Linked DNA regions of Drosophila melanogaster. Changing the gene in region 1 together with any one later gene gives a genetic interaction. Each region holds a gene or a part of one and is shown in the gene's direction. Other genes may lie near its edges.

The links. Genes that interact genetically often act in the same process or in processes that back each other up.
Region 2: of Clk (region 1) and wake, changing one suppresses a phenotype caused by changing the other (phenotypic suppression), as found in Drosophila melanogaster (one study listed by BioGRID).

What each region holds. Positions count from the first base shown.
Region 1 is NT_037436.4:7,772,584-7,777,327, reverse strand, and holds the start of Clk (clock), read left to right. Parts: upstream 1-1,724; 5' UTR 1,725-1,832; intron 1,833-4,744. UniProt on the Drosophila melanogaster protein: Circadian regulator that acts as a transcription factor and generates a rhythmic output with a period of about 24 hours. Oscillates in antiphase to the cycling observed for period (PER) and timeless (TIM).
Region 2 is NT_033777.3:22,637,989-22,642,854, forward strand, and holds the start of wake (wide awake), read left to right. Parts: upstream 1-1,819; 5' UTR 1,820-1,922; intron 1,923-4,866. Other genes in the region: loco (locomotion defects), read right to left, coding at 1-951.

The sequences.
Region 1 (4,744 bases):
TTCTTTTTAATCGTTCAAACTCTCCCTATAAAGCAAATCAATTTTAAAAACAAAAATTTGCTTTATCAGTCGGCACATCTTTGTCTTTGTAAATATCTTTTTACGGATAATCCATAAATTATATGTACATTTTCTACGCTAGTTATAGAACACGAATTTAATTTTCAGCTCAACACAAAATAAATAAATAAATCAACATTTTTTGTCAACAAAATATTTATGTAATTTTATACAAAATATACACGAACGTCTAAATTAAATCATCGTGTATTTACGTTTAGACACTAAATACAATACAATCCCAAAATTTGACATTATTTTTGTGTCTACTTTATATGAAGAAATTATTACATAATTCTATATGAAACAAAAAAAAATTTATAATATTTCTAAAATTCTTAAGATCAAATCAACAACATATTTTCTCTGTGTTTTTTGTGCTAAATTTTTTTTACTGGTACTTCTTAATTTAATAATGATGTAAAATAAAGAGGAAAACAATTAAAATATAAAATAAATGTGGAACATAACTATGGTTTTTCTTTTAACTTATAAAAGTGGTTGATAAAAAAAACTATTGAGTTTCAGTTTGACAACAAAGTAGTTCTGACTACACCTCTGCATTGCTGAATAGCTACATATATACATCCTGTGCGTTGCATAAACCTATAAAACTTTCAAATCAAATCGAGAAAATCTTGTAAATTGCAAATCGAGTGCTGAAATGTTACGTAAGCATCTAATAAATATCGAATTTCTGGTGCAAGCGGTTCGCGATTAGGCAATCATGGAATAAGAATCAGAATTATTAGTTTTCTGTGCTACCTTTGCAGAAAGTGAGGTCGTAGTGCTAGATTCGGAGCTGAATTCCAATTGAATTGATTTTGAAGATAAAATACGACAAAGGAATCAAAGGTAAGGGTCGTGGTTCACTATTGAATTCATACTAAAACTACTTTATATATGAAATATTTATTGAAATATGAGTTTGCATTAAAAAGCTAATGCCGTAGTGCTTTGGAAATTATTTGTGTGGATTAACAAAAGCTGAAATGACAGTTTGGAAGTTCTTTTATCACTTTCCATACTATAAGACAATTTAATTAGTAAAAGTTTACATTAAATTAAATGATTAAATATTAAAACAGTTTGTTTAGTTTTAACTTTAAATTATGTTTAACTTCTCTTATTATTTCAAATTATATTTCAGTTCGCCTCACGTTGCATGAAATGCACATATGATCTGTTAATGTAAGTTTATAGACATGAAGCAGTATAGATAGATCAAAAGATAGTTAGGGTATGTTGCACCACCTACCTAGTTTCAGTCTATGCCGACCTATAGTCAAAAACTCACCCCTGCCACAGACCTTGAACTTAAGTCGCGGACAAACAAAACCCGTTGAATCACCCCTGCGAGACCCCCGAGAGACCCTTATATCTGTAATCTCCAGACGGAATGCCAGAAACACGCGGAATATTGGACAACAAACAGAAAGGTTGAAAGAAAACTATATAGAAAAGCTATACTATCCGATCCGAGAGAGACCCTCTGAGCAGAGTGGCTCTGAGCGTGCTGATAGTTTGATAGAGCGATAGATAAAGACTCAACTCAGGTTCACGATCGGTGCAATTGAGTGATATGGCGGATTCTGAGTGTGGAGAGCATATTAAATAATAGCCGAGTGGCGGTGCTCAATCAGTCAGTCAGTCAGGTAGAGCTGGGAATGCTTGCACATATCGCGTATACGCCCCGGCCGGCAAAAGGCATTACAACAGACTTGTAGACCGACTGACTCTCCCGACCGATTCGGTTTCGTATCTTTGTATCGGTGAGAACGCTTCTGGGGACTCGCTGCTCACATTTCGATGCATTTCGCGGTTTTTCGTTTATCCACGGGCTTTTTGCGTTTGTAGTTTTTATTTTCGCCAGCTTAGAACTTGCAATTCTCGTGCATTTATTCAGTTTGAGTCCAGCAAGCGCAGCGTCAACGAGCGGATCTCTCTCTTTAATTTTCCGATTCGGGTTTTCGATTTATTCGCATTTTCTCCGGGTTTTTTTTTTGAGCGCGCAGTTATTGTTTTATATCGCAAGTACTTGGCCGATCTGAAGCAAAGTCAAGCCGTCTGCCGTTGATATTGTCTCTGCCTGTAACTCGATCGCATATTACACACTTTTCGCCTTTTCGGTTCTGTTTCGGATTTGAAGGGGAATAATATTTTTGTTTGTCTCCGTCTTTGCGCTTAATTAAATTGCAGCTTTCTTCCTTGTTTCTGCTGATATTGCCAAAAAAGTTTTTTGTTTTACCTTTTACCATAAAAGAAATTAAAGTGTTTTTGTTATTGGATATCGTTTTCTATATATTGGCGTATATATGTCACCAAGTGCAGAAGTATAAAAAAAAAAACGCGCAAAGCAGAACGGGAAAAGTTATTATGTAACTTTTAAAACACTCGTGCCATAAAAACAGGAACAAATGTGGAATAATTCTTGAAGAAACAAAGTGAAAGGCAGAGGAAAAAACAAAAGTGGATAAGCCGCCAAAGGCAATATATGGATAAAAATAAATAGTTTAAATAATAATGGGCGTTTTTAAAAAGCCAAATAAAAAAGTGTAGTTATATGTCAGTGATGTTGCAATAAAACACAAATACAAGTTTTCACAAGTTAAAAATTGATCTTAGTTAAATACTAAAGTAGTAAAGTTTTATTTAATTGAACAAGTGCATCCAAACTAATGTAGCTAAGATTCAATTTCGAAGTAAATTAACTACTTTACCTGCTAATTACCAAAGTTTTGCGCCAGATTCAAAAGATTAAATTACAAATCAGCTGCGGCAAAATTGTGAAGTGTGCAAAGCAAAAGTGGAGGAAAAAAATAAAAATAATAAAAGCAAAAGTGCATTAGGTAGAACATCCGCAGTGACAAAAATAACAGAAGAAAAATGCCGCGCCAAAAAAGATAAGGCAAACCCAAGGATGAGATACGAGCGAATACGAGTGAAGATACTTCTCGCTTAAAACAAAAGTGCATTCAACCAAAAAAAAATTGAAAACAAACTACCTGTGAGAGCGATTTTTCCACATACATATAATAAAAACTATAATTTTTTTAAAATGTCTTTAGATTTGGAAAGGTATTTTAATAATGTACTCTTTATTCGAATTTTGAATGGAGTTGTGTCGTTTGTTTACTCTAAAAGTTGGATTTCGTACCCAATATTAAAATAAATATAAAAATTAAAAAATATTTTTAGATATTGGTTTTAGTTTCATTCAGCAAGATTGATTGGATATTTTACGCAGTACACTATTTTCATTCCGGTGAATTCAAGATAAATAATATTGTTTGTAAGTTTTGCTTAATTACAAGAATTTCCAGTGGCTGAAACTAGCTAGGTAATTTGCTAGTCGCTTTGCAATCCAACTATTTCCATTTGTTTTATTTAAATTTTTTTTTTTTTGTTTTTTTTATTGTTGGCTGACAAGTCTCAGGTCTCGGATGTGGCGTCTTTTTGAGTTTTTGAAACGTCATCGTCAGCGTTTGACTGCCCCGAGTATCTGTGTGCGCCAGTCTATCTGTGTGCGTGTGTTCTGCTGCAATGGTGTGAGTACGCGTGTGCATTTGTGCAGTGGTGTGCGATCATGCGGTAGTCGCACACGCTCTCAGTAAAACTTATTTCAATTGACAACTAAAAAAACTATAGGCACATGCAAAAAGGTTTTAAACATTACAAGTGATACAACTTCGATTCTTGTTTTTGCATTTAGTCGAATAAATGGGGCACAATTACGAAACGCTACTTAATTTAATCTGCAGTCAGCTGCACTTTCTGGCCATTTTCGCTCTGGCTTGCAGAGCGTATACTTCATTTTCACTTAGAGCAAATATGGCTAGTTGTTGATACGGTGAGATAAGCAACTGATTGACAACTACTCCAGATCTATTTTTTTTTTTTTTTAACAATATTGAGGTAGTTGGAAACAAAGAACGAAAACTTAAGGAAAGCCTCTGGGTCGTTTTTTAATTAAAAGAACTTATAGAAAAATGCACTTAAATTTCTAATGACTAAAAGTTAGACACCCTTCATTTATATCAAAAGGAATAACCTAAAGAGAGCAAAACTTTGGACTGAATAAGTTTAACCTAATGAATTTTGTAATGGTATAGTGAGTTTTTGTCCACTTAAATGAAATCAAGTTAGTTTTTAATTAGTCGGAATTTAATCGATACTAAATAGAATTCATTTAAAATTTCCCCCTTAACGAAAATATTATTCAATTTCAATCTAAACATATTAAATCATTATAAAGATCGATTTATGTGATGAACTGATGATTTTAAGCAGACTGCTAATGATTCAGATACGTCAATTTATTATTAGATTGTTAAACGTTTAGGGAAAGGAAAATCCAAGATCCGTTTAGGGTTCTGTTTATAGAACAACAACTCCATGCTGGAAAACCACATAGAAGTATACCCCTTGAACACTATTAACGATGAACTCGGAATTGGTAGATTGTAATTAAATCCCGTCTCGGTAAAATAAGGGGGAACGAACGCCGACGAAATAAATCAATGAATGACTAGAGGTAAAAATAAAATAATAGTGAACAATTTAATTAAGTCAAGTTTAAGACAACAAACGCTAGAGCGCGACGAAAAGTATTACAAGTTTTGCGGAAAGAGAAATAGAAGGCGAGGAAGCAAAGTTGTACAACGGGTCGTATGAGTATTGGGTA
Region 2 (4,866 bases), on another chromosome or scaffold:
CGAGGAGTAGGTGGCCAGCACTCCGCCGCTGGAACTCTGCAGGCTCAAGCTGTCCGGCGTGATGCACATCAGCACAATGGTGGGCTGTCGCTTCTCCTGTCTCAGTTTTCGAATGCAAGATCGAACTGTCTGCAGCTTGGAACTATGCGAGATCTGCTTGGGCATCTCGATGGTTCCCAGATAGCCAACAATAACACGGCACTCCAGTGCAGCACTGCCCACAGCTCGCACCATGGCACTTACATTGGCCACATCCGCTGCTTTGGATAGATTGGCTGTCAGAGGCGGATCCTCCAGAACGGGTTTTAATGTAGGGTGATCGGGTGATGACTTTGATTTGTGCGGTTCCACTGCCTCTGGTGGGTTTAGCTTCTTTTGTGGCGAGTTGCGCAATCTGTGCAGTTTGGCTTTGTGGTGTAGAAACCTGGGCTTGTGCCTCAAACTGGCTGCCAACAATTGACCCCTCAGCGTGGCATGGGCGTTCTCCTCATCCGAGCTGTCGGAATAATAATTCTCGGCGATCTGCATGCGAATACTGCCAAAGGAGTTGCCAATGAGCTGCACCACTGTTTCGTGTGGCAACTTGGAGACATTTAGACCGTTGACCGATATGAGGAAGTCACCGGAACGCAGGCCAGCTTGCTCGGCAGGTGAGCTGCTGATGATGCAAGACAGCCGACATGGTTGCTGCCCGGAAATGGTGAAACCGAAGCCATTGTAACCACGTCGCACTTCCACGGTGCGGATGCCATTGTAGTTGTAGTTGGCTCGCTTCTTGCGACGTCGCTGATGCTGCTGGCTGTTGGATCCCGAAGGCGTGGTTGAGGTGCTTATGGGGGCGGGCCCACTATTCGCAGCAGGTGATGCATCCTCCGCTGCAGCTGCTCCCGTTCCCACGGCTGTGGAGCCACTTGCTCCGGTTATGGGCAAAGGCGGATGATGGTGGTGCATGGCGCTTACTGTGTGGAGAAAACGAATGATGAGGAGTACTGGCCAATCTTAACCCACATCTGGACATTTGTACGCACCTTTCTCATGGATGGAAGCTGCAACCTGGATTTCTGGAAATGGAATGCGGTTTCTGTTGCGCCCCTTTTTGGATGATGCCCCCTCTCGCTCGCACCCGTGCGTCGCCTATGCCAACTATGTAATCAATGGCACACACACATGCGCACCAATGGCCAGGCGTATTTTGTTACACTTTTCTAGGCCTCTAATTAATTGATAACTAACTCTTCTTTGGGTGCTACCTCATATTCACGCGGTTAATAACATCGTTGTAACTTTATCAGGCATATTTGTAGCAATTAATTGTGTGTAAATCGGTAATTAAAATTATGTCTACAATGCGCAAGCGTAACTATGATTAGAGATGGAACACACTAAAATGTTTACTCGATACTATCGATATTACATACCTTTTGTGAAACATCGATCACTTTGACACACCATATTTTTAGTAATTACTGTTAAAGTTTTGCAGAATGTCAACAATTTTTAACAAGCAGTTCTAGAGAAAATTTGATTTGTTCAAATATTGAAGGCATTGACCATTGATAGAAAAACGATATTTACAAATTTGAATTAGATAAAAACAGGGCTGCCAGACTCATTGAAATTTATGAAGCAATCGTTGCCACACTGGGCTGACCTTCGTTGCATAGCAACGAACTTTTGTCACATCCCACTGCCGTCAGTTACTTTTCGATTTAAATAAAAGCTCCGAACGCTCGTCCTTTAAAGTCCTTCCGGTGAGCTTACATCTGCGTAGCGTGTTATTTGTGTTTGGCCCACGCCGTTTCAGTTACATTGGGACTTTCAAACGCATTGGTTGAACGCGCGCACCCAGAACCGCTGTTGAATTAGTTTTTGAACCCGAAAACAGCAGTTAAATTGCTCGAGTGAAATGTAAAATGTTATTGGTAAACGGATCGAAGTGTTCGAAGTTCTAACGCTGAAATGTTTAAGGATTATCCGTAGCAAGACCTGCAGAAGTGACCCCAGTCAGCCAGTGTTGAACCAATTGAAATGTTGGCAAGGACATTACGGACAAAGAATAGAAAGCCAATAGAAAGCAATGGGGGTGGGATGTTGCGGAAACGGAAGTGCCAAATTGAAATGCCATTTAAGCCAGGCGAGCGATTTGCCCGTCTTCGTTTACGGCTCATCCGGATTCGTCTGCGTCTGGTCAGGGCACTCAGATTTCTTGCGGGGAATGGATTCGAGAGCGCGGCAAGTGCGATCCCCAGACGACACTTGGCGTCGCTCTTGACATTGATTATATTCATGAGACCAAGTCATAAATTCCAGCCCGACTGTTTACGAGGATTCTAACACCAATCCGCTGTCCCCGATTCCCGGTCTCTGCCCAAAGATGTGGCCAAGTTGCGACTGGAGTGCCAATAAAATCATTAACTGTTGCAGCGCATTAAATTCATGGCCCAGACGATGCTGCCGCGCTATTCAGGCAGCAAACATTGTCATAAAACCTCGGCCCATTCACGCCATATTTCATTTCATCTCCTCATCTCCATCTACCTCACATCCATCTACCTCACATCCTAATTGCCGAAGGTCCTGAGTCCCGTGGGCGTGTGAAAAACTATTAAAAGGCCGTTGGGCCGTGCATCGTGGGCCCATAATTAATGGCGACAATGACTTGATCGGCCGATAATTAATTTATCGTCATTTATATTGCCAAACTGACTCGACGCGCACATACTATATATGTGCTATATACATGGTTACCAAAACGGTTGGCGATCCCATGGGAGCTCGTAAATTGTCCAGAAGTCTAGTTCCTACTTCACTTTAATTTCTTGGCTAGCGAAAGTTTTCTTTTCAACTAAGCCCAAGTAAGTTTCAGTTGGTTCTATTGTATTATTTTGGCACATGCTTCATTCCTGCTCGCCTCTCACATAGTTTTGGCCACAAATTAGTTTGGCAGTGGATTTTGTTAGCCACTAGGAGATGCCGAGCATTTTGCATTCCCATACCAACCGACTTTTCGCCTGTTTTGTCCAACTATTTTGCTGCTGAAAGTTGGCAGGAAAAGTTTCTCAATTGCGACGAAGAAATCAATTGGAAATGATTGAAACCTAATTTCCCAAATGGACTGAATACATAAATCAATAAATTATGTCCCCTCGAAGATGGGAATCGACGGAAGCACCTCAGTCATTACCGAAAGTTTAATGTATTTAAGGGTTAATAATATCGATCGAACTGATTTTTGATTGATGAATGTCCTGTGAATTTATTAATGTCACCATTGTTTGCTAAGTGTTTTGTTATTTGATTATAATTGGGGCTCATGAAAGCATTTCATTGGATCGTATATTAAAGAATATTATTAATATACAGTAATAAAATGGAAAACTTTGATTGAATTTTTTCCATATATGTACAAAAGTGTCAAAGTTCACTGCTCGCATTCATGTTTGTGTGTGCTCAAATGGTAAATCTGACCAATGTCATCAATATTTCAACAAAAAAGTAAATATTTTCGCTTCACTGAATCGCAGTGAACCGTAAAGAGCAGTAAAACTATGCTGATAGCAAGCTTTGTGTCTATGACATCCAGCTGCACCTGATGAAAATCCGCCATTCTATCCGCTTAGGGATTTAATTCGTAAACGTCTCACTGGAAAATTAATAGGAAAATACGCAATTTTCACTGGAATGCCAACTTTCACCCCTGACATCTTAGAATATACTCTTTTTTTTTTTTGTGGCATTATCATACCCACACTTTTTGTGGGTCCTAAGTCGCCGTCCTTGTCGCGATTTCGGAAATTGTTTTTACCCACATTTCATTTGTTTCCCAAACTTTCTGCATTGCGCGAGCGCCAAAAAAGCAAAAAATTGACACAATTTAAACTTTTCTATAAACAAAAGCAATGCAGGGCAGCCAAACAGAAAAGGTTAGCCAAACGAGCCATTTGTTCGCGCTGCTGTTTACTTCCTTTTTGCCCCAAATTTTTCCCCTTTTTAGCTGTCGTGGTTATTTTTTCGTATACTCCAGTTTATTACAGAACTCACAGAAATTAATGCTGCTGGGGTTTCTGGAGGGGTTTTTTTTTTTTTTTTGGCTTTTGTTCAAATTTGTCAAAAGGAAAAGGCTGACCGAAAACGTTTGCTTCGTCCTTTATTTTTCCGCTTTTGGTTTCTCAATTTCGTTTAAATTGCGCACATTTGAAACAATTTGCCAACAGCAAGCGCCCACACATGCATTTTTTTTTTTTAACAGCAGAATGCATTCTGCGGCTTGGCAGAGATTTATGCAGGCATTTCATAAAGCTGACAACATGGCGTATGATTAATATCGCTGCCTGTTCCCTGAATTGCTATTATGCTGCATTTAATTAAATCTGCAAGCGATGATTAAGTGCTTAATTTTACAGGCAAGAACCAAGTACTTACAAATACTTACCTATACATATATATACATATATATATATATAACATTGCTATTTCTGGGCGCCCGGCTTCTTGACAACTAAGATTAATTGGTATTGCCACTAAAAATATAAACAAGGAGTTCTGATATTATACCAAGTGCCGGACAAGGACGTTGTTGTATATACTATATGTGGCATGCTCTCAATAAATTTAAGCATTTCATGACAATGACGTTGCAGGCGATGCGTTCCGAGAATTCCGACTATACGTGTGCATATTGCATATGGCTGTGTTTGGCCTGGCTGACATTTCTTGGCCTTTTTTGCCCTGGCATATGTGCGAAAATGCCAACGTTCATTGCAATGCAATTAATGAAGATTGCTGCAGCTGACGCGCACTTTGCATGAATACAATGTGATGTATGTAAAAATGCCTTTGGCTTATTTTTGGCAATCTAATTTGCAA